Linked DNA regions of Caenorhabditis elegans. The protein of the gene in region 2 interacts with the protein of the main gene of each other region in a pairwise test. Each region holds a gene or a part of one and is shown on either strand. Other genes may lie near its edges. The genes, in order: grif-1, jkk-1 and H28G03.2.

Region 1 (7,676 bases), on a different chromosome or scaffold from region 2:
TTTTTTTTTCTGGCAAAAAATCACTTAGGCTTTACATATTAAAATTGATTAAAAATTTTTGCAAGTCGGTCAAATTTCAAATTTTAACTAATTTTAGGACATTTTTCGAGCCGTCAGAAGTTTTTTTTTGAGAAGTTGGAGTTTTCAAGAAGTTTCATTATAAAATTCGGTGTTTTCAGACAATTTTGAGTCTAATAAAATTTTAAAAAAATAATAAAAAAATTCGACTACACCACCTTTAAAGGTTTTCGAAATTTCAGAATTTAAATTTTCGGAATAAAAAGTTTAGTTTTTGTATTTTCAAAAAAATTGAAAAAGCGGCCCCGATCTTCAACGCACCATCTCCCTGTCCAGCTCATCATTCCATCGCAAAACGTGCTCGGCGAGCTTCTCAATCTTAGCGGTCTTGCCTCTCAGCTGATGCACGAACGCATCATAAACCTTCTTCTGATTGTACGTATCACCAAGCTCACGGAATTTATCCATCGACAAATCGTGGCTCCCATTCCATCCGGCCCATCGCTCCATAGTCGCGTTAAGCTGCTCACGAAAATCGCGTTGCACTTTGTGCAAATTGTCCTGCAAGCCGACTATCCGCCGCTGATTCTCCTGGCGTTGCATTTCGACGCGAAGAGGCTGCAGACTGATCGACACGTGGTTCTTTTTGATGTGATCTCTGAGGAGACACGTCGAACACAACGCGTACTGATTCAGAATTACTCCTTGCTCGATGAGTTCAGTGGGATGAGCATCCTTGATGATTGGGGAGCATGTAGTGCAAATATTGGTGCTGAAAATTGGGGAAATTAATTAAAATCTGAATTTTCACAGTTTCACGGCTCGCGCGCGGCACCTCACGAACTCCAGAATTTGCGGGAATTCGTTTCGCGCGGGGACAGCAGTTTTTTTGCTATTTTTGGCTTCTATGAAAATTTTTTTTGATTTTTTGATTTATAATATTCTTGAGAAGCATTATCCGAATTGAAAATGTATAAAATTATGAAATTTGACCGAAAACTGGAGGTTTTACAGAAAGGAGTTCTACACTTTTCTTTAAAAATGCATCAATACCGCCAGTTTTTTGATTTCAGAGTCGTAAAGTATGTCATTTTGTAGAGAAAAGTCTGTTTCACAAAAATCCATGTTTGAAATTCTGATTATTCAATTTATAATATAAAAATATTCAAAAAATCAACAATTTTACATTAAAATCTTTTTTCTTTTTTTCGATTTTCCAGGTTTTAATAAAAACAATTTCAAAATTTCAAACATGGATTTTTGTGAAACAGACTTTTCTCTACAAAATGACATACGACTCTGAAATCGAAAAACTGACGGTACTGATACATTTTTAAAGAAAAGTGTAGAACTCCTTACTGTAAAACCTTCAGTTTTCGCTCAAATTTCATAATTTTACACATTTTCAATTCGGAGGATGCTTCTCAAGAATATTATAGATCAAAAAATCAAAAAAGCTTGAGCTTCACAGAAGACGAAGAGCTGCGTGGGCAGCTTTTACCAACATCAAAAGCACCACGGACCAGATCACCTGCCCACGCCTCCGTGCAAATCTCTTCGACTCTACGGTTCTCCCAGCCCTGACCTACGGCTCTGAAGCTTGGACTTTCACAAAAGAGCTAGTGGAAAGAGTCAGAGTAACCCATGCAGCCCTCGAACGAAAGTTAGTTGGACTCACCTTGACAGAACAACGCGAACGAAACATTCATCGCGAAGAAGTTCGAGAAAAGTCAAAACTCAGAGATCCACTAATACACATAAAAAAGAGGAAACTTGGATGGGCTGGACACGTGGCGAGACGAACGGATGGCCGATGGACAACTCTGATGAACGATTGGTGCCCCCGAGACGAGAAACGACCCGTTGGACGCCCACCGATGAGATGGAATGACTCTTTAAGAAAAGAAGTCACTACGCGAGACGCCTTCGGGCAAGTCAAACAACTATGGTCCACCCAAGCAAAGGACCGAAAAGCTTGGAAAGCTGTGATCCGCGCCGCAGGCGAAGAACGGATCGACTAAGTATCCTAAGTAAGTAAGTAAAGTATGTCATTTTGTAGAGAAAAGTCTGTTTCACAAAAATCCATGTTTGAAATTCTGATTATTCAATTTATAATATAAAAATATTCAAAAAATCAACAATTTTACATTAAAATCTTTTTTTTTTTTTTGATTTTTCAGGTTTTAATAAAAACAATTTTCAATTTTCAAACATGGATTTTTGTGAAACAGACTTTTCTCTACAAAATGGCATACTTTACGACTCTGAAATCAAAAAACTGGCGGTATTGATGCATTTTTAAAGAAAAGTATAGAACTCCTTACTGTAAAACCTTCAGTTTTCGCTCAAATTTCATAATTTTTCACATTTTCAATTCGAAGGATGCTTCTCAAGAATATTATAGATCAAAAAATCAAAAATAATTTCCGTAGAAGCCAAAAATAACAAAAAACTGCTGTCCCGCGCTAAACAAATTCCCGCAAATTCTGGAGTTCGTGAGGTGCCGCGTGAGCCGTGAGGCCGTGAGTTTCCAACGCACTCTTTCTCGTGATAAACGCCATTACAGCCGACACACGCGAGGAATGAAATATTATGATCGGCTTCTCCACGCATCGAATCCATCAATTCGATTAGCTGGTAGTTGGATCGAATGTAGTTGCGTGGAGTCTGGGTGACTGCCTGAAATTCAGCAAAATTCATTAAAAATTTTATTTTAATCTTCAAGGTGGAGTAGCGCCAGTGGAGAAATTGCTTTAAAACACGTCTATGGGGTCATAATGACCGAATATCATGATTAAAAAATTCAAATAAATTTTCCTGATTTTATATGATTTTTTGAAAATTGAAAAAATCTCAGTTTTTGCATAATTCCTATTTGAATTTCCGCCAATTGGATTTGTTCGTTGGGGCACTTGCACGTTTTAAAATTTAATTATTTTATTTATTCTTATTTTCCACCGATTTTTAATGTTTTCGGTGTATTTTTGCTCGAATTTTAGAGAAAAAGTCAAAATAAATGCAAATTTTCGATTAAAAAGCACACTGACAGGCGTAAATCAGTGAAATTAATTAATTCAGGTTCGAAATCGTTTAAAAGCGTTACTTTCTCATTTTTACGCCTGTAATCGTGTTTTTTAATCGAAAATCTGCATTTATTTTGGCTTTTTCTCTAAAATTCAAGCAAAAATACACCGAAAACATTAAAAATCGGTGAAAAATAAGAATAAATAAAAAAAAAAATTTTTAAACGTGCAAGTGCGCCCCACCGAAAAAATCCAATTGGCGGAAATTCAAATAGGAATTAGGCAAAAACTGAGATTTTTTCAATTTTCAAAAGATCATATAAAATCTAGAAAATTTTTTTGAATTTTTTAAATCAAGATATTCGGTCATTGTGACCCCATAGGCGTGTTTTAAAGCAATTTCCGCACTGAGCGGAGTCCACCTTTAATTAATTGATAACACATACCCTGCAAACTGGACATCTAATGTGCACAAACGAGCGGTCGATCGGCGGCCGATTGTGGTTGATTCGGCTCTGCTCGTCGAGCAAACCGATGCATCTCTCGCAGACCGTGTGGGCACATTGCAGGATTTTCGGAAGATGTTGTCCTTCGTCTGGAATATTGATTTTTTCAAAGATGTTTATGAAAAAATTGGAGGAAAATTGTGTTTTCGGTTAAGAAACCTGTATTCTAAGGGAAAAATCCATAAAAACGCTGAAAAATTCACTAATTTTCAAGATTTTCAATTAAAATTCGAGAAAACCAACTGAAAATTCGCTTTGTAAATTTACGCTAAACAACGCGCACGGGTGTAAGATCGGAGTGTCGTTGGTATTTAAAAAATTTAAAAAATTTCGCAATTTAATTTTCTTGATTTTTCGCTCAAATATCAAGCTTTTTAAGTATTTAAAAATGTGAAAATCGATAAAACACCTAAAAATTTGCAAGAAAATAGCCAAACACTGACGAAAAAAGCCGTTAAGCCAACAAAAACTCACTAACCAAATGGCTCAAGACATATCCGGCACGACGGGGTGCTGATATAAGTCTTCACGTCGGTGCTGCTTTTGAAACTGTACATTTTTGTCCACAGAGAACAGGAATAGGAGACGGAATGAGCGGAAATCGAACGGAAAACTCAAAGAAACAGAGTCTCTGCACCCAAAATTGGAAATTTGGCGCCGAAAAGTAGATAGTAGATCAACATCTGAGATGGTAGATCAAAAATTTGCGAGCCTAGATAAATTCGATTTTGACAGAAAAATAGGGAATTTTGTTATTTTTACAGTTAAAATTGAGATTAGGCCTAGGCTTGGCGTCAGTGGCGAGCGTTAGCTCGCCATTTAGGGTTAGGATTACAGCGTTTTTTTCATTTTTCAAAGGGTTCCCGTTGGCCGATCAAAGCGAAATTTAACACAGAGACGTATAAGCCACTAAGAAGCTTCCGTGTAAAATTTCAAATTGATTCCATCAAAACTCGCCGAGTTATGGAGCTTAAGGTGTTTACAAAATGACCCTCAACTATTTTTTTAAATTTGAAAGTTTGGCGTTTTGTCAGTTTTCTCCCTAAGCTCACGAAAATTTAATGACAGCAGGAAGGACGCAGGATAAGGTTTCTTGAGAATTTTGAGCCAATTTCGATTTACAGGAGCCGAGATATTAAGCTTGTAAATCTGAAAAAAGTTCGAGTCCGGGTGCGGGCGTCTAAATTTTTTTATGCCCTGTTTTTCGTTCACTCTGAAAACGCGCGTGTAACTTGACGGTGGGTGGATGGATTTTGATGCGGTTTTTTGCTCTCTCTTCAAGAAGCTTGCCCCACCTCTGTATGCTTTATTTCAGAAAGATTGGAGCTCTTTGAGCCGAGATATGAAGAGTATTTTCGAGTATCCTCCAAAAATCTTTGGTTCCAAGGTGAAATTGTTGTATAAAAAGATCGTAGGTACATTTTAAAGTAAAAATTATTCCGAAAAAGTGATTTTTTCATTTTGAAAATCGAGGCAGAAAAAAAATTTTTGATTTTTTTTCCAAAAACTTTTTTTTTCCCTTCTCGTAGGATGGCGGTCGTTTGAGATATTTTGATTTTGAGGAAAACAAATGAAATTACAAATATTTCTAAAGCGATAGAGCAAACAAATTTCGAAAATTGAGTGAAAACTCACTGAGATAACCGACCTTGAAGCAAGTTACTGCCGTTTTTGCGTTGTTCATTTTTCAACTTTGAGCGTTTATTATTCACTCAATCTGAGATCAATTTCAATTTTGTTTTTTTATATAGATTCAAAATTTGACGCTAAATCCGAAAAACTAAGTTTCAAAAAAATTTTAGTGAAAATTTTTTTCAGCACCGCCAAAAAATCGAGTTTTTCAGCACTGATTTTTTCGAATTTTTGCGATTTTTCACTCATTTTTTGATGAATCTTTGTTTTCTTTTTTGTGTTCAATGAACAATATTTATGAAAAATGAAATCTACTAACAATTTGTGAAAAATTTATTTTTGAAAAAATTTTGTGCCAGTTTGAAATTTTTTCAAAAAATTAATTTTTTGCCTCTTGCCCAGAAAAAGTGGTTTGGTCTGGTGTTTCAACAATAATATTTTTGAAATTCTCACACCTTTTTTCATATCCCCTCAAATTTTTGTAACCCAATTCTCTCTTTGAAGGGAGATACAGGCGGGAGATACAGTTCGTTGAAGGGCTGCCAACACATCGCCACCCCACCCACAGAGAGACACACATTTACGACCCAATATATTCAAATATTACCTCCTGCTCTCAGTTTTCAAGATTTTATGATGATTTTTACTTCATCAGAAAGAACACATTATCTTTCCTATTTGCAGGGATAGAGGAAGACAAAAAAAAACAATATGGATTTAAAATCAGGGCTTCGCCCCGATTTTAATAAAATATATGAAACCCTCTTAAAAAGTTACAAGAAGGTTTTTCCTTGCGCTTGGAGCGCAAAAGAAAAGAAAAAGAGCTATTTAGACTTGGGATGCCCAACTGGAATAAAATATAGGAAATCCTTATGACACACTTAAGCCTAAGGGCCCGGAAAAAAAACTAGGATGCCCAACTGGAATAAAATATTGGAAATCCTTATGACACACCGGCGGTATGGCGCGGCTTAAGCCTAAATAGCCACTTTTATCAAAATACATTTGAGCTCGCTTTGCGTTTTACAATAACTTCTCAGACTCAAAAGTAATCTGTGTATATTTTTCAGTAATCTAAATGAAAACTATAGATTACTGAGAAACTTGGAAATTTTGTAATATTTGAAGGGATGCGAGCAATCTCTACATATTTGCGATCAACCTTTGGAGATTTTTTTTCTTAGTGAAGTTATAGAATGCCAATATTCAAATTCCTATCTCATGGGAGGAAAAGTTCAAATTCTGTACCTGCGTATATTTTTTTATAACTCCGTTCTTCCCACAAGAAAGGCCTTCTTCCCATGAGACAGGAATTCAAATATCGGCAGTATTCATAGGTACAGAATTCGAACCTTTCTTTACATGAGATAGGAATTTTATATCAACCAAATTAAATCTCCAGTAAAGTGGGACCTTTGATGAATATAATCACTCTGATGATATCTAATTCCGATGATTAATCCATTTTTCTTTCTCTCACACTTATGAACTAAAAATGATTACTAAATTAAGGCGTGATATTCTAAGGTGTGATAACATATGATATTTATTTTTAAATTTAAATAAAGTTTTTTTTTTATTTTTGCTAAAGAACGAATAGTTTACAACCGCCTCGCTCAAATGTATTTTGATAAAAAGTGGCTATTTAGGCTTAAGCCGCGCCATACCGCCGGTGTGTCATAAGGATTTCCAATATTTTATTCCAGTTGGGCATCCTAGTATGTTTTTCGGGCCCTTAGGCTGGTTGGATTGGGATTTCCAATGTTTTATTCCAGTTGGGCACCCTAAGTCTAAATAGCTCTTTTTCTTTTCTTTTGCGCTCCAAGCGCAAGGAAAAACCTTCTTGTAACTTTTTAAGAGTTAGGCTTAGGCTTAAGGTTAATCTCAAACTTCGGCTTAAGCATAGGCTCAAGTTTAGGCTTAGGCTTATGTTAAGTGATAGGCTTAGGATTAGGCTTAATCTTAGGCTAGGTGCTAGGCTTAGTCTTAGGCTTAGGCTCAAGTTTAGGCTTAGGCTTGGCTTAGGCTAAGGCTTAGGTTAAGTGCTTAGGCTTAGGCTTAATTTAGGTGCTAGTCTTAGTCTTAGGCTTAGCGCTTAGGCTAAGGCTTACGCTTAGGCTTATGCTAAGGCTTAGGCTTAGGCTCAGGCTCAGGCTTAAGCTAAGGCTAAGGCGTAGGCTTAGCCTTAGGCCTAGTGTTAGGCATAGACTTAGGCTTAATTTAAGTGCTAGGCTTAGGCTTATAATCAGGCTTAAGCTTAGGTTAAGTGCTTAGGCTTAGGCTTAGGCTTAATCTCAATTTTTGATTTAGGCTTAGGCTTAGGTTAAGCGCTTAGGCTCAGGATTAGGCTTCGGCTTATGTTAAAAGCTAGGCTTAGGCTTAGGCTTAATCTCAAATTTTGACTTAAGCTCAGGCTTAAGCTTAGACTTAGGCTTAGGCCTAGGCTTAAGCTTAGGCTTAGGCTCAGGCTCAGGCCTTTGCTTAGGCTTAGGCTTAA
Region 2 (7,676 bases):
CTCTTCTCTCAGACTTGGTGATGGCAAATTCAGGTTTGCAATAATGGTGAGAGTTGTGAATTCCATGTCATTTAGTGGAAATGGGTAGAGTCCAGTGACAAGTTGGTAAACAGTGATTCCCAATGACCAGACATCGCTTCGAACGTCGTATTTGGAATTCGTCTGCAATTTTTTCAAACTTCATTATTTACTTTTAGACCTATTAACAGGAGTGCCCCGCGGCTCACTGTTGCGATCGGGACGTGACCCACATTTCGGGTCAAGATTATGTTTCAAAAAAAAAAGTTCAAAATTTTTTTTTTGACATGTCAAGCATGATCAAGCCGAAACTAGTAGCAGGGAACCGGGGCAAGTTGCGGGAAAAATCGGGCGCGTGGAGGGCGTCACCGCCACCGGCACATTTTTGTTCACAGATCAACATTCAATTTCATACCTCGATAGTTAATCTTTCAGGAGCCATATATGGCGGACATCCTGCACTTTTGGAATGAGCCATCGAATCAGTCATAAATCCACTTATCCCAAAATCACACAGCTTTACATTGCCGCTGTCATCAAAAAGGATATTCGAGGGTTTTATATCGCGATGTATAATCGACTGAAAATCCGGAATTAGTTGTTTAGTTTGTGCACAGCAGTTTCTCTTTAATCTCTTACATGTTTTTCCTTGAGATAATCCAGTGCACTAATCGCCGAGTAGACGATGTGACCGGCCACAAACTCGGGGAAAAAATCCAATTTTGAATGATAAATGCGACGCAGCAGCTTCTCACAACACGCTGACATGATTTGCATACAAATTTTTACAGACGACTGGAAATGGAGGAATTGGATATGTTAATAAGAATGTCACACTTACATCAAACATGAAATATCCGTAACTGGTGACAATGAACGGAGAATTGCACATTGACATAATTCGGACGTCACGAAGAATTCGTTTCAAATTTTCCTTATTGTCATTTTTGTACATAGTCTGAAGAAGACAAAGCTGAGGGAACCGTTATGATTCTGTGTCAACGTATTCTCTAGAGTCGCATTTATCAAACTACTGTTCTCACATTGAAAGAGGTTCAGAATTTTTACTGAAATTTGTTTTCCACCAATTTTAGAGGTCTCTCCTCCTCTCTAACGCATTTGCTTTGCATTGACAATTGAATCAAGAAAAACGAAAACAATGGAATTTCTAATGGTCTTTAGCACCACTACAATTTTTCGCCCCCGCATGATAACCCGTGAAGGACCCCTTCTCTTTTGAATTGCGTATGCAACGATTCTGTCAATCTTTTTTCAAGAGTTCATACTGGAGCCATGCAAGATTTATTCTATTCAAAGTGGTCCGGATGTGTATCTCAACCATACATCACTGCCTCCGTGTGAGGGGTAATGCTCACCTTCACAGCCATCAATTTTGAGCGAACCGTCGCAGATTCGACTACACCACAAGAGCCGCTTCCGAGCAGGCTGATGATGTGAATCTCGTTTGGGTCGACAACTTGCTTTTCTCCTGATAGGAAAAAGATTTTAAAAATTAAAGCTTTGATGTATGTCTTACCATCAATTTCTAATGTTCCCGATTTCTTGTACCCTTCTAGAAACTCGTATTCCAACGCATCTTTCTCAGTATCTCTTCTGGATGGCGATGGTTTCATGGAAAGCGGAGTAACTGAAATTGTATGTATGTAATAACTAAAGGTCGTTCTCCAGGCACACATTTTCTTTCCATGGGGCTTGTTAAATACCCAATGTTATTCGGCCGTTGGTGTTGAGGACTTGAAGATGTGGAAGAGCATTCTGTAAAACAAAATTTGAGGGAATTAAGAATGACAACACATACGTGTTTTTTGGAATTGAGCCGATGATCTCATCACAAAGAATAATTAGATGGAATTTTAAGAATAATGATGCCATTTGAAGGCTAGACACCAATATTTCAAGACAAACCTTTATGTTTTTGATCTACCGAAGTTGATCGGCGATCTCTCGGCCGTAGCCGAACCTCAGTCAATCCCAACTTCAAGAATTTCCATTTTCTCACCCTCGTCTCCAGATCTAAAATCAATTATTACAGACTCAACACGGAGGAAATGAGATTGTGTGTTTGGCGCTGATTGACACTTTGGTTATTTTTAGTAGTTTTTGTGGTACCTATTGCCCGAGAAGCCAAGTACTTTTCTTATCAAGAGGTATAAGTTCGTTGGCTACCTTGTTTCACTAAAATTTAGGTTACAGGTTGAAAATTAATTGCATCAGCATCATCTGGGTATCAGTCAATGAGCGGTTACCGAATTTGCCAATCGCTGAAATTTTCAGCAACCGGCAACCGTCGGCTGCCGAGGCCTTGGCGTTGTTCAAACATATATTTCTGTTAAACTCATATTTCAGAGTGTTTTTCGAGGAAAAAATATAATTGTTTTATTTACAGTGACGATATTCGCAATATTTAGGGTCTTTGAATGCGTATTTACAAAACAATTGAAATTAATATCGAAAGTTGCCGAAGTTGGCGAACGATAAAACTTTCGGCAGCCGACAACCGATGATTTCCGAACCTAAGGCTACTTTCTGGCAATCAGCAACTTGGTTGACCTGTTTTGCAGTTCATTAAATTTTCATCAAAGATTCTAAACGGAATATACATAATCTACGAATATTTTGCTACGTACTCAGCCGACAATAAACAAATATATGAAAAATTATATGTTTACCTCGTAATCTTTGCTGAAAACAGACATTCTCCATTTAAAACCAAGGTAGAGTTGACAACAAAATAAAAGAATGAAAGAATGACCCGTTGGCCGTCGTCGCTCGTTCCGAAATTTTAATAAGAAGACGTATGTGAGGTTCCTCGCGGCAGCGACAGCAGCAGCAGCACCACTAGCCCAATGTAGTAGACGAAATGGCAAGACACACACAGCTATCGATTCTGAATGCACAATGCTAGTCGAAGAAGCGCAGGGGCTCCCGGTCTGGCCCCTCTTCGCTCTCATCACCCACATCGTGGAGGAGGAGCCGTGAAGAAGGAGAAGGGGGAAGGCTATAAATGCACACACATACTAGTGAAAATATGCGGGAAGAACTGCTCCTTTCTTCGGCTCTTTCTCTCTTCTCGCGCATGTCTCATTTCCAATTGGTCCCCCCATCATCCTCTATTTCGACGCGTTTGGGATGCGTGAATCTTTGCAGCTTCAATGGGTGGTCCTATAAGAGAGAAAGGCTAAACGCTAATGGGCGATTTGAATGGGGGCAAGTTTGGAGGAGGTCTTTTTGTTGCTCATCTTCTTTGTGCCGGCAAATAGAAGTTACACGATGACACACAGACATGCGCCTCTGCACAAATCTCATCAGCGAGAAAATTGGGTGAAGCATGTTCTGTTGAAGACGATTCGAGGTTCCAAATAGAAACGATTCACCTGGTTAAAAATAATACTCCGAACAAATGTTTGAGTCACAGTTGCTTGTTTTAAAACTTGTAGACATTTTTGGCCACGTTTCAGAATTACGATTGTTTGACTATGAAAACAAAATTCAATTAAAAAAAATAGATTTACCACAATTTGGACAGGTTAACCCTTTTGGTGGGGGATATTTCAGATTTAAAATTATTTACATTTCAAGCAACCTTTTGAACTTTTGGTCAAGTCTCGTGTTCTTAGTTCCTTTTGCAAGATCTCACGTTTCAATACCACATTTCTTCTGATTCAGTTACTTTCACATTTTCCGGTCTGTCTGGGAGCAAACACAAAGTTCCGAAAAAGTCTTGCTCACTCATGCACATTTCAACAGCAAAAAAAGTTCGTTTATTGCGTTACGGGGTAATACATGTACGTGGCTTAGTTAATTTTGATTAATCCTTTCTCGTCTTCAGCTGAATAGAGCCCGAACTTTTTGAATTTTGCCTCGGTCATCTTTTTCAAATCGGCGTAGGTAATATGGTAACCCATGAGTCTGTCGAGATAGTTGAACCACGGTTGGAAACATGTCAGTGGTCTCAGATGGTGCATGTCATGAGCCGGAGCACCCGAGTAGAACCAGAAAATGCGATGAAGAGCAAATGGGAAGTCGTATCCAATGTGAACCTGAATTCAACTTTGTCAACTTTAAAGGTCAAATTTTAATACCTCATAAGAGACGCTCTGGGCGATAAAGAACCAAATCCAGTAGGTCAAGCAGTGAGTTGGGAAGATCCATGGGATAGTGGTGATGAATGTTCCAACAAAGAACAGCTGAAAAAACTTACTATTTTAGTTATAAATCTCAATTTTCAAAAACCTCAAATGGGTGAAGATGTTGTGCAGATGCTGCGAATGGGGATGAGTACATATGATGAACAGAGTGACACCAGCGGTAGAGCCATTTTACCTGCAAAATGTTGAGTGATATTACCATGATTTGTGTATAGGACAATTATGACTATCAGTGATTCATTCCACTGATAATATAATTTTTGAATCGCTGAAAAATATGTAATAGCTTTATGAAATTCAAACTGAAACGTGCTTAACGTTGGTAAAAAATTATTTCGAATCTTAATTTCAAGTGAGAGAAAAGCTGCTAATGAAGAAATCAACATTGATGTAAATTATGACGTCATAGCATAAACTAAAATGCATTATGTGACGTCAAAATATACATTTTAATAAACCTCTTTGCATACATGGATAACCAAATAATAGGAATCGTAAAAATAAACACTGAAACGTTTGCAACAATCAAAAAGTTCCTATCAGGACGTTTCGACAAAATGACAGGTTCCGCAATATGAATTAGTACTCGGAATGTGCAACGTTTTGGAAACTTTTGCCTAAACGAATGTAAACCTGGTGGAAAATTGGCGAGCTTTGCACAACAAAAAATTATTTGTAGCTGGTGAGTTCCCGATTATATACATTCAGAGAAGGTTTTGAATTATATTGTGAAACATGGTCTAATTAGTTTCAATGTAACTCGATTTACAAGTTATTAAAAACCGTGTTTTATGACTACTCCAATCATACTTCACACATGCAACCGTTGTTTGTTATCAATTACCTTGTGATTGATATAATGGAACCAGAAATATGTGAAATCAAAGGCCAGGAAAAATATAGCCAGCTGTGAAAGCATTTCAAAAACTGTTGGTGCCAGGATAGGAAGCTCTGTATCAGGTACCCAAATTAACTGGACAAGTGCCATCGGGTAAATCCACAGGAGCTGATTCCATCCTTGAAGCTTCAGTGACTTCTTTATCAAATCCCAGGTCACTTTTCGATCTTTTTGGATTTTTGCATCTTTGAAAAATGGAACGTTGCACAGAAACACGTCAATAACTGAAACATTTTGTAGTTTAATTCAATGTTATCAACCCGTGGTACGTGCTTACATGTGAAAACGGCTACCCAAGTGTAATCGATTGAGAGCGCATAGAACGGCGGGAAAAGCGGCGAGCTTAAAATGTGTTCATTTCCATTCTGGAATCGAATCATGATTTACAAAAAAAGGTTAGGTGAAACTAACTTTGATCCAATCCCATGCCGGTTGAAGAAATCGTGTATTCTTCTCGTATTCCAACTGATCAACTGTTAAATTTTGAACAGGGTATAGGTCTAACATCTAAAAATACCACACAATTGTAGCTCAAAATTCAACAGAATACAAAAAGAAACAAATAAATTGAAAAATAAATATGGTCTGAGAAAATGAAACTATGCGTCTGGTTATCATAAAAATGGTTAATGATAAGAGAGCAAGTAGAAGCCAATTGAGAGACGTATGATGATGGAAAAGTACTGAAAGCAAAGTATTTAAATTTCAACAAAAATAACTACTAGACTACAATTATAATTACCATTCATGGACATAAGACATACAATTTTGAAAAAAGCTCGTTAAAATTATTTATTTCCTAAAATACATGAAAACAGTATAAATTTATAAACACCCATAAAAATAAGTATGTATGTCATTTTCTTTGAAAGGTGTTAGATTTGTATAACCTTCAAAAGATTGAACGAGTAAAACCGCGTGCAAAATAACCGGTATGTCTACTACTAATCAGTTATCATCACCACTTGTAATGTCATTCTGATAACTAAAAAATTATTTTAAACACGTGTGAATTATAATGAACAAGAACTTTACAAAACACAGTGGTTACATCGCTTTCAAAAAATGATGTACAGGTACAGAACAAAATGTTTGAAATGTGTGTTTTGAGCAGTGTAATTTTTTTTCAATCACTTTTCAAATTTTTTTCTTTATGTTCATAGTTTTACGAAGGTTTTTTCTTTTTCATTTTTGATACTTCATGAAACTTTTCACGTGGAGTCAATGTTTATAAATGTTGAATGTTTCGAAAAACGTATTTGAAAACCTAAACCTGATAACCTCAGAATATAAATCAAGCCTAAAAACTAAGCCTGAAGATCTAAACCTGAAAATATTTATCATCACTGAGCCTAAAAAGGCAGCTTGAAAACAGTAGCCTGAAAGCATATTTCTTAAAACGCAGCTTAAAAATTAAGCCTCAGTTCTAAAGATTAAGTTTTTTTTTGGCTAGAAAGATGAAAAATGAACTATAGTATATTGTGACCTGGATATTGAATTTTTTAATGTTTGATGTACATTTCTTTCTAGTCCAACATTTTTTATACACTTTCAGGTGACCCGGATATGTTATTACTTCAACATAGTGCACACAACTTCCTTCACGGCATCATCACCGCTCATTTCCCAAAAAGGCTAATGAATTTTTTCCTTTCGGCTTCTTGATGTTCTTGATTCAACAACAAGCGCTTGCAATCATCAGGCAAGTACAATTTTTAATCAATCCTTATCGTAAATCTTTTTCACTTTACAATATCTTTCCTTTGGTTGCTCGGCTATACTTGTTGCTCAATTTTCAATTTTCACCTTCAATTTCACTACAGTTTTCTATTATTTTTCGGAATTCAACTCTATATCTTGACTTGCGAACATTCAAAAGTTCACACGTTTGCTTACAAACCGTAATATCTATTTGTTTTCATCTCTGAACATTTGGGAGGAAGAGTAGGCCAAAAGTAAATACATAGTTAGCCGTGGCAAGGTGTGTTTCGCTTTCATTGTGCCGCGTTTTTTGCTGCTACTGCATTTGCACTAACTATGAAACAATACAACTACAGTTATGAAGGTCAGTTTTTAGTATAAATCTGGTAGGAAACGATAAGGAAAAAATTGAAGGTTGAGTTGTGTCTTGTATATATTACTTAGAATTTTTTTTAGATTTGTTGTTTGTTTGGTGAAACAGAACTTGATGTATACATTATGATTTCAAGTTTTGAGTTTCTAGACATGATGTCAAAACCCCAAGAGGAAATATGCGCCGAGTTCCCATAGCAATCGTCTCTCTCTAATTGGGTTTCGTTTCGTTTCACAAAAACCGACAAAAAACTTATCAACAAAAGCAAGCGCATAGCGTGTGATTATGGGGGAGAGTTAGAAAATTGAATGTTATTCAGGTTACTATAGAGATATCTTTGACTGAAAGGCTTCAGTTTTAACTTCAACTTGATAGCCTCGCTCGTTTTGTTTCATTTTCTGTTACAGGACACTGTAGTTTATTTATTTTAATATGGTTTCATATGTTTTTTTCAGCTGCCCCTCAGTTTTGCCGCAACTCTGCAATGGCAATTCAGACTGCTCCAGGTGAAATTTTT
Region 3 (7,676 bases), 160 kb from region 2:
TTGCCATGCTATTCTCTTTGTCTCTTTCTATTTTGTTTTGCTTTTTCTTTTTTTTTCTTTAAGAGCAACACGAATTGACAAATTTTTGTAGTAGATGAGAAAAACAACACTTAGAGAAAAAAAAATATTCCCGGCACTACAGAGATCAAGTGAAGTTAGTGTTTCAAAAAGTAATGAAAACACATTATTCTTGATGAAGGTCACCATCGATCTTGTCCACATTGCCCGATTGCACTCATCTCACTTGATAAGAAAACTTGTAGCACGGTAGTTTGTTCTCGGTTTGATTTCAACTTTTGTTAAAACTTAAAAGTGGGGTATTTTCGGAAATGTGAGCCCAAATGCTTTCCTCTAATCACCCACTGAATTTTAATAATTTGAACAATGCACTACAGAAATACAATTCCTGGTGAAAACTATGCGGAGGTCACTGAACTTTTGGTTTTGCGTCACGAAAGAATTACGTTGGAAATGTTTCCGCAACACAGAAAACGAGCGATAAGAAGTTGAGAAAATGAATAAGAAGAAGAGAAAAAGACGAGAAATGAAACGAATATATCCGAGGGTCCTAAATAACAAAATATCGAGTGACAAGAGTCCGACACATCTAAAGGGCAAGCAGGCGCAACAGGCAGCAACCAAATACTCAAAAGATGATGGCTTCGGATGAACTCGTGGGGTCCCATCATTCGCCTTGAAACTCGATCTTCCACCGCCGCCGCCAAACCGCACCTGCTGTCCGAGGTGTGCCGAGATGAGCTGCTGAATTGCCCTTCGTTTTGGCGAGAGAGGTAGTATGGCGGGGCCTGTCAAAAGAAACAACCAACTAATATATTCACGGGTATGCAAAGTAACGCATTGCTTCAAAAATTTCGGCCGAAACGCAAAAACTTGCCAAAAGGAGAGAGTGGGGAAGGAGGCCTCCCTCTACCCACGGGTGGCATGGGATGTTAGACAATAATCGAGAAAACTACACATTTGTGGACCCTCCTTCTTCGACACCCCGCCTATAATTTATGTATCGGAGGGTGGGGAAGAAGTTTTCTCCAGACGCTAGATAGAGAAGGAAAAAATATATATTCTCTCCCTGCCGCTGAGCCAACGCATCGTAGGTGGAAAATATAACTAGATAACTAGAGTAAACATGTTGACACTGTGGGGAATTGAGAATAGAACAAACGGATAGAAACCAAGAAACAAAAAGGTAAAAAAAAACCAGAGTTAGGTTAGCACAGAAGAAGAAGAAGAAGAAGCCGATAAGAAGAAACATCGAATTCATTCTTTGATAGTATGTTGTTTTATCGGTGAAGAAAAAATCAAATCAGCAAAAATCAAAGCACAAATCATTTACAAACGATGTATTGTTGTTTCCTACGTTTTCCTACGTGCTATCAAATTAAAAATGTTCTTTGAAAATATGTTTATAAATCTGCGAAACTGTAAGTCTTTTCGCATTATTGCAAACTAGAATGAGTATCGCCTATACCTGCCACTATTCGCAATGCGATAAAAATGACAGAGTTAACAACTGGACCTTGTTATGACTATTGGAATGGGGGTTTTTGAATGGGTATTGTTCGCTTCAAAAAGTAATGTACCCTACGTTCAAACGTTGTTAAGTCGCAGAGAATTACAAAATTTAAACGGAAAGAATGTTGTAAACATCAGGGGATTTTTTTTTTCAATTTTTTCAAGAATATTGCAACAGTTTAACAATGGTGTTTGTAAAACTTGATAAGTGAAAGTAAAGTTGTTCTAAACCTGTCAACTTTGCTTAACAAAATCAACTGTCTTCAGTTTTCCTTAGAATGCAAAGTGAACAATGTTTTGAAGTTAAATTTGTGATTTTTTCCGTCTTGTGGTAGTTGGCTTGTTTTGCTCACGCCGGAACCAAAATAGTTAGTGTTCAGTGTTAACCGAACAAGAATAGTAAATTGAGCCGAAATATTTTTCTAAGAAAACATCAATGTTCTTTTAAAACGAATCACGGAAAAAAAAACTCACTATGGTTCTAAACGTGACTCTAAACGTCAGCTAACGTGACTGCTACTTAAAACTCCTTATAAAATAATAAAAGTAGCTCTTTCATAAACGTTCTGCAGAAAACTTTATATCTAAAGATATCAGTCAAGGTGGCTCGGTAGAGCGCATTGTAATGTATAGTTTACAAGGTGCTTTCAACATGTTTCCTAATTAAATCAACAAATGTATATATTTCAAGTGCCGTATATCCTCTATTAGTTTTGCACCCCTTTGCTCAACTTTGGCAGCTCATATCTCAGTAGTCGTTTGTTTTATAGAAAAGTTGTCAACTGATAAAATATTTGTTAGATGTTTTTCTATAGTATGTTGTTTGTTAATTATTTATATGTTCATAACAAAATGAGATATGAGCTGTCAAAGTTGAGCGAAGGGGTGCAAAACCAATAGAGGACATACGGTATTACAGAACATTCAGAATTCCAGACTCATGAACAGAGTTGTATCACAGGACTTAGTACTCACCGTTTTTCACGTTTGCTTTCCTTGTTCAGTTTTGGTTCGATAATTGGAATCGGCTCCTGTAAATTTGAGTGATACTTGTTAAAAATTTTTAACAATAAATTCCATACCATATCGTCTCCAGTCAATTCTCCATCGCTTCCTTGCTCGCGAGTTTGCTCGATTTGTTTTGGAGATTCCGGCTCTTCTGGTGGGGTTTTTGGTCCAATCTGGAAAACAATTTTCTTATTTTGTGCGGAAAATATGATTTGGGCATGTGTTTTTAATAATTTTGCCATTTCGAAAATGATAATTTTGCTTTCCTTTTTTTGCAAAAGCGAAGTAGAATTGGATGCACATTTTCATTCGTATAAACCCATATTTCTACGGCAACACATTGCCGAATTATCGATTTTTTTTTCACTGGGCAAATGCTATTTGCCCATCTGCGAAGACATTTTTTTTTAATATTTTAAAATTTACTAAATTTATTAATTTGTAATTATATTATTCGCAGGAAAACCGACGAATTTTTTGCAAGAAAAAATTTTAAAAGCATGATAACTTACTCGTTTTCTTCCAGGAATCTCGCCATCATCCGAGACATCGTCGAACTCTTCATTAACAAAACCAATAGACTCACAAGTTGGTTGGCCTTCTGGAGCTGGCTCTGGTGGTGTTCTTGGCGGATTTCTTGGCCGTCCAAACTCATTGAGCCCATCGTCATCCTCATCCATTGTTGCCATAACTGCTTCTTCAGCTCTCTGACGTTCCAGAGCAATCGCTTCAGCGGAATTTTCCATATCTTGCAAATATGCTTGCGTTGCCTCGAAACTCTCTTCTCCAATTTCGCCGTCTTGCAAATCGATATCCGGGTTTTCAACAGGAGGGTTGCCGGCAGAGTCGATGACGTTGTCACGTTGCATTGTTGCACACAGAATGAGGACTGTATAAGAAATGAGCGCTCTCGCGGACTCCGCGGAATTGAGTGCAAACGCTAGGCCACGGCCGCTCGCTCTCTCGCCGTCTCTTACAGACACACGCTATGTTGCTGTGCCTGTAGATTGGGGAGGCGATATGTCGTCACTCTTTTGCAGAATATTGGTGGCTACGTGTTTTTATAGAGATGCAGATGGAGATGCACCAAATTAATGAAAAATATAGAAGAAGGGAATGAAAAGTTTTACTTTGTTTTCATTATCGTTAAAAAGCAAATAAATTTCCGTTTAGTTATCTTTACACTGTTAATTTTGTTTTCAAGGAAATTTATAATTCATAGTTTTTGATGTTTCTTTTTGTTTTTTGATCAAATAACTAAATCGCTGAAACGCAAATCTATTTTTTTGTCGATTAGTTTTTAAAGCAAGTATTGTTGTATGCTATTCAAAAAGGATTTTTTTCCACAAATGGCACTAAAACATTATAAATTCAAAAAAAAACATGAATTAATGATGAGCAAATCGTTACTATCCGGGACATACACCTCAGTCCCATAAATTAACTTAAAAAACATATTTTTAGGTGATAGGGGGATCCATTTTTAAACGTTTTTCGCATTTTAACTGAAAAAGTATTGCAAATATTGCCAGTTTTTTAACTTACGTATTAAATATTGTATACAGTTCGGTCGGTAAAAAAAATCAAAAATATATTGGTCCGTGTACCACCCCGAGAAAAATATAAATTATGAGTGACTTCTCTTTGAAAAAATTATAATGATAATTAAATTCATTTTTCTAAAATGTTAAAAAGCAATTATACATGTTTAAATAATTTTCAAATGTTCTAAATCATGATTAAAAATTTTCACACGCTTCGAAAAGTTGTTTTATTTATTTTCTCTGGAAGCGAAATTTGATTCAGAACGTGCAGATTCATTCTTGATTCAGTTTTATTTCAACTCTTAGAAAACATTTTTTAAATCCCGAACCTATTTTTTGTGTAGTTATTGTGCAACAAGATAGTCAAAAAAGCTTAAAAAACGAAATCAAAGTAGAAATACTAACAAATTTCATTCACTGATTGCCGGGATTAAGAAAAACCTGTTCAAATTCAACAATTTTTATTTTGTAATTTGATTGCTCAATTGTTCTTATTTGGTTCCTATAATGCCGTTGAAGCATAACTTTGTGAACACAATATATACCTGAATTTCATGAAGTTTCAATTTTGGGACCGTTTTGGACGGTATTTACGCTATTTTAATTTTGTTTTTAAACGTTTTTCAATTTTCCATGTTTCCAACCAATTATTGAGGACATTTTTTATAGCGTACTTCTGAAAAGCTGAAGACAATCCAAATTTTCTCTACACCTTTTATCTGTTTATAGCGTTGAACTACCACATCTTCACATCCTGCCAAATGATGTTAGTAAATGTGTGCAGGAAAAGCATAAACTCGCTTCTAATCGTCCGTGCTCTTACATCCATTTTCCCCTTACTCTCAATTATCTCGACTTCTCGCCGACACTTGATGGATTTCCGCTTCACAAAACTTCATATGCAAATGACAGGTGTTTATTTTTGTTTTTCACGACCAGATGGACAAAATGGTTTCAAGTTAATGGAAAGAAATAGTAGTAGATATTGAATGTTTTGGGATGGAATTGATAGGAATGTGGAATATACTGAACAAAACTATTTTGCACGGTAGAAAGTAATCTAGTTGCAAGAAGAGCATGAACACTATTGAGCTATGGAACATAAGAAAAACCGGAATAAATTTGGGAATCGTGGAAGAAGGAATATTTTTATAGACTGGAACAAATTTTTTGGGAAAGTTTTCTTTTTTGGAAAGTTTTTACAGGTTTGGAAATGCAAGGAGGAATTATTATTAAAACTAGTTAAAGAGCTATCAAATTCTAACGCAAGGATTAAAATGTAAAAAAATTAAAAATGATTGGCTTTGGAATATTTAAATAAGGTAATAATTAACAAAGAATTAATTGGTTAGAAAATCAATTGATTTGGGATTGCTCAAATGCTTGATTAATAATGTTTGATTGAGGGTCATAGTCATTCCAGTTCATATCCTGATTGATCATTTGTGATCCATCATACACCAAGTCATCACACATGTTCATCTAAATTATACATATTTAATGTTGCCTTTTTGAAATAATGACTTACATCAGCAGATGTATGCTGCTGTTTTGGATCGGAAGTCTCGGTCCAGCTATTCAAAATTGCAGTCAAATCAATATCGTCTAGTGGGCAGCTCAGAGGATCGGCTAAAAAGTATACACTGTTGAGAGGCTGAAACATTTTTGGAGTAACTTACAATCTCGAATATTAGCGACCATTTGATCAATGTCTGGGAAGTCGAAATCAAGATCATGCGTTTGACTGTTTTGAGCAATAAATTCTTGATTCGAATCTTCATTATAAATCATGTTGCTATGGAATTGATTCACGTCATGGTTCATCACATTTTGATCAAACTGTGGTAGAATTTCCACAATATCGGACTGTTTGCTTACAACCTCTGAATGTTGGGAGTTTTGAAGAGGTGACTCATTTTGCTGAGAAGTATTAGATTCAGCACCATTGCTCATAGAATATGTTATTTCCTGTGGCGAGTTTTCCTGTTGGAATGCCATATTTCTGCTGTAAGAGCCATCAGAAAACACTGATTGTACGCTGTTTTGGCTTTGTGTGCGCATTGGAGAAGATACTTCAGATGGAAGCGAGATCACTTCATTATCATATTGCTGTTGTTGAGGCTGCTGTTGCTGTTTAGTCTGACTTTCTTTTTGTTGACTGCGTGAAGCATCAATGACAGTTTTGAAGATTGCTTCCATGTCGACATCAGATTGCGAGCTAACTCTTTGTGGCACGTGAGGATGGTGGAACTCGAGGAATTGTTTTTGCGAATTTTGCTGTTGATTTTGTTGCTGAGATTGTTCAACTGGGATTTTTTGTTCATTCGTTGAAGAGATAATCTGAATCACATCGTTATCAACAGCCTGTTTCTGCTGCGCAGTCTTTTTGCTCGGTGCTGTTTTTGTTGTTCCATTGGCATTCCTTTTTCTGGCTGGAGCTTTCTGAAAAAATGCACAGAGTTTAAAAAAAAAGCAAAGATAGTCACGTTATATTACCTTTTTTGTAACCTCCACTGCTGTGCTATCAGCTACAACAGGCTGCTCGCCAGTCGTTGATTTGGCACGGTTGTTCTGCTCTCGAGTCGTACGATAGTCATGTAGCAAAGAAACAATAACGAGAGCTGTTCTGCCATCCTGCAATTGAAATTGATAAGATAACTCGGGAAAACTTAAACTATGCAAACCTGTTTGATCAAACGAGCAATATCATCTGTAGCGGTGTTGATGTGTAACTGCTCAATGAGACGTGTTTCAGCAGTACGAATACTATCTTGTTGAGTAGTGAGCTCCTGTAAAATATAACTTGTTTAATATTGAGCACAAATATGAGATGTTAGTGGCCACTCACATTAATCATCTGAAAGTTTTGGCGGCTTTTTATAGCATGTTGAATACATCTACTATTCACGTGCTTATCCAACGGTGCTGAAGGAACATTTTGTCGCTGTCTCTGTTTCTGTTGTTTTTTAGCCAAATTAATTTGCTGTTGCTGTTCACGCAATGTGTCATGGTTTTTCTGAATCAATTTGACCAGCTCATTAATCTTGGCTTGTTGTTGAGTAAGAAGATCTTCTCGAGCACGTAATGTCGCAGGTGACAACCTGCAATTCCAGACTGACGATAAACAATTGTGTCTGGGGAAATGAGTGAGGAATGTCAAGAGGGATCAAAAATAACTTGAACAACTGTTCGGTGGGCGTTCGAGCAATACTCACAAATTTTGCATTGTTTCGAGATCCATCAATTCTGCAGACTCGCTTGTGCTTTCCGCTACAGCGCTAACAACAACAGGGCTACCGGAAGTGGTTGCAATAGGATCGCTGACAGGCATACTTGGGGATGGTCCAGCCTGGTCAGCAACACATGGACTTGCTTGCAATCTGGAATACCGTAGAACATGAAATACTGTGGCGTGAAAAATGGAATTCGCACAGCAAAACACACACTTGATAAAAAAAATGAGACTTTATAAATTGACAACAAAACAACTCGAAAACCATCTTAAAGGTCGAGTACCGGATTTTGAGTCCTTGTTTTGTCAGACGCAAAATGCCCCAAGACTTCCGAATTCCGTAACGTAACGTTTTAAACATT

The links.
Region 1: the proteins of jkk-1 (region 2) and grif-1 interact in a two-hybrid assay, tested with the Caenorhabditis elegans proteins (one large-scale study listed by BioGRID).
Region 3: the proteins of jkk-1 (region 2) and H28G03.2 interact in a two-hybrid assay, tested with the Caenorhabditis elegans proteins (one large-scale study listed by BioGRID).

The regions. Positions count from the first base shown.
Region 1 is NC_003279.8:1,974,480-1,982,155, reverse strand, and holds the start of grif-1 (RING-type domain-containing protein), read right to left. Parts: upstream 4,127-7,676; 5' UTR 4,105-4,126; coding exon 4,026-4,104; intron 3,637-4,025; coding exon 3,488-3,636; intron 2,698-3,487; coding exon 2,558-2,697; intron 791-2,557; coding exon 340-790; intron 1-339.
Region 2 is NC_003284.9:5,363,731-5,371,406, reverse strand, and holds the start of jkk-1 (Dual specificity mitogen-activated protein kinase kinase jkk-1), read right to left. Parts: upstream 2,940-7,676; 5' UTR 2,743-2,939; coding exon 2,709-2,742; intron 2,092-2,708; coding exon of another isoform or gene 2,072-2,091; intron 2,053-2,071; coding exon 1,945-2,052; intron 1,795-1,944; coding exon 1,714-1,794; intron 1,667-1,713; coding exon 1,556-1,666; intron 1,508-1,555; coding exon 1,395-1,507; intron 977-1,394; coding exon 860-976; intron 814-859; coding exon 658-813; intron 599-657; coding exon 434-598; intron 163-433; coding exon 1-162. Other genes in the region: F35C8.8 (uncharacterized protein), read left to right, coding at 2,072-2,091; F35C8.5 (Cholesterol 25-hydroxylase-like protein), read right to left, coding at 3,834-4,079, 4,122-4,226, 4,273-4,362, 5,032-5,309, 5,363-5,450, 5,497-5,592. UniProt on the Caenorhabditis elegans protein: Dual specificity protein kinase which acts as an essential component of the JNK signal transduction pathway. May phosphorylate jnk-1.
Region 3 is NC_003284.9:5,201,555-5,209,230, reverse strand, and holds the start of H28G03.2 (WW domain-binding protein 11), read right to left. Parts: upstream 3,412-7,676; 5' UTR 3,408-3,411; coding exon 3,051-3,407; intron 2,712-3,050; coding exon 2,613-2,711; intron 2,562-2,612; coding exon 2,506-2,561; intron 1-2,505. Other genes in the region: pqn-62 (SAP domain-containing protein), read right to left, coding at 5,439-5,564, 5,611-5,711, 5,762-6,524, 6,579-6,716, 6,767-6,871, 6,931-7,183, 7,298-7,462.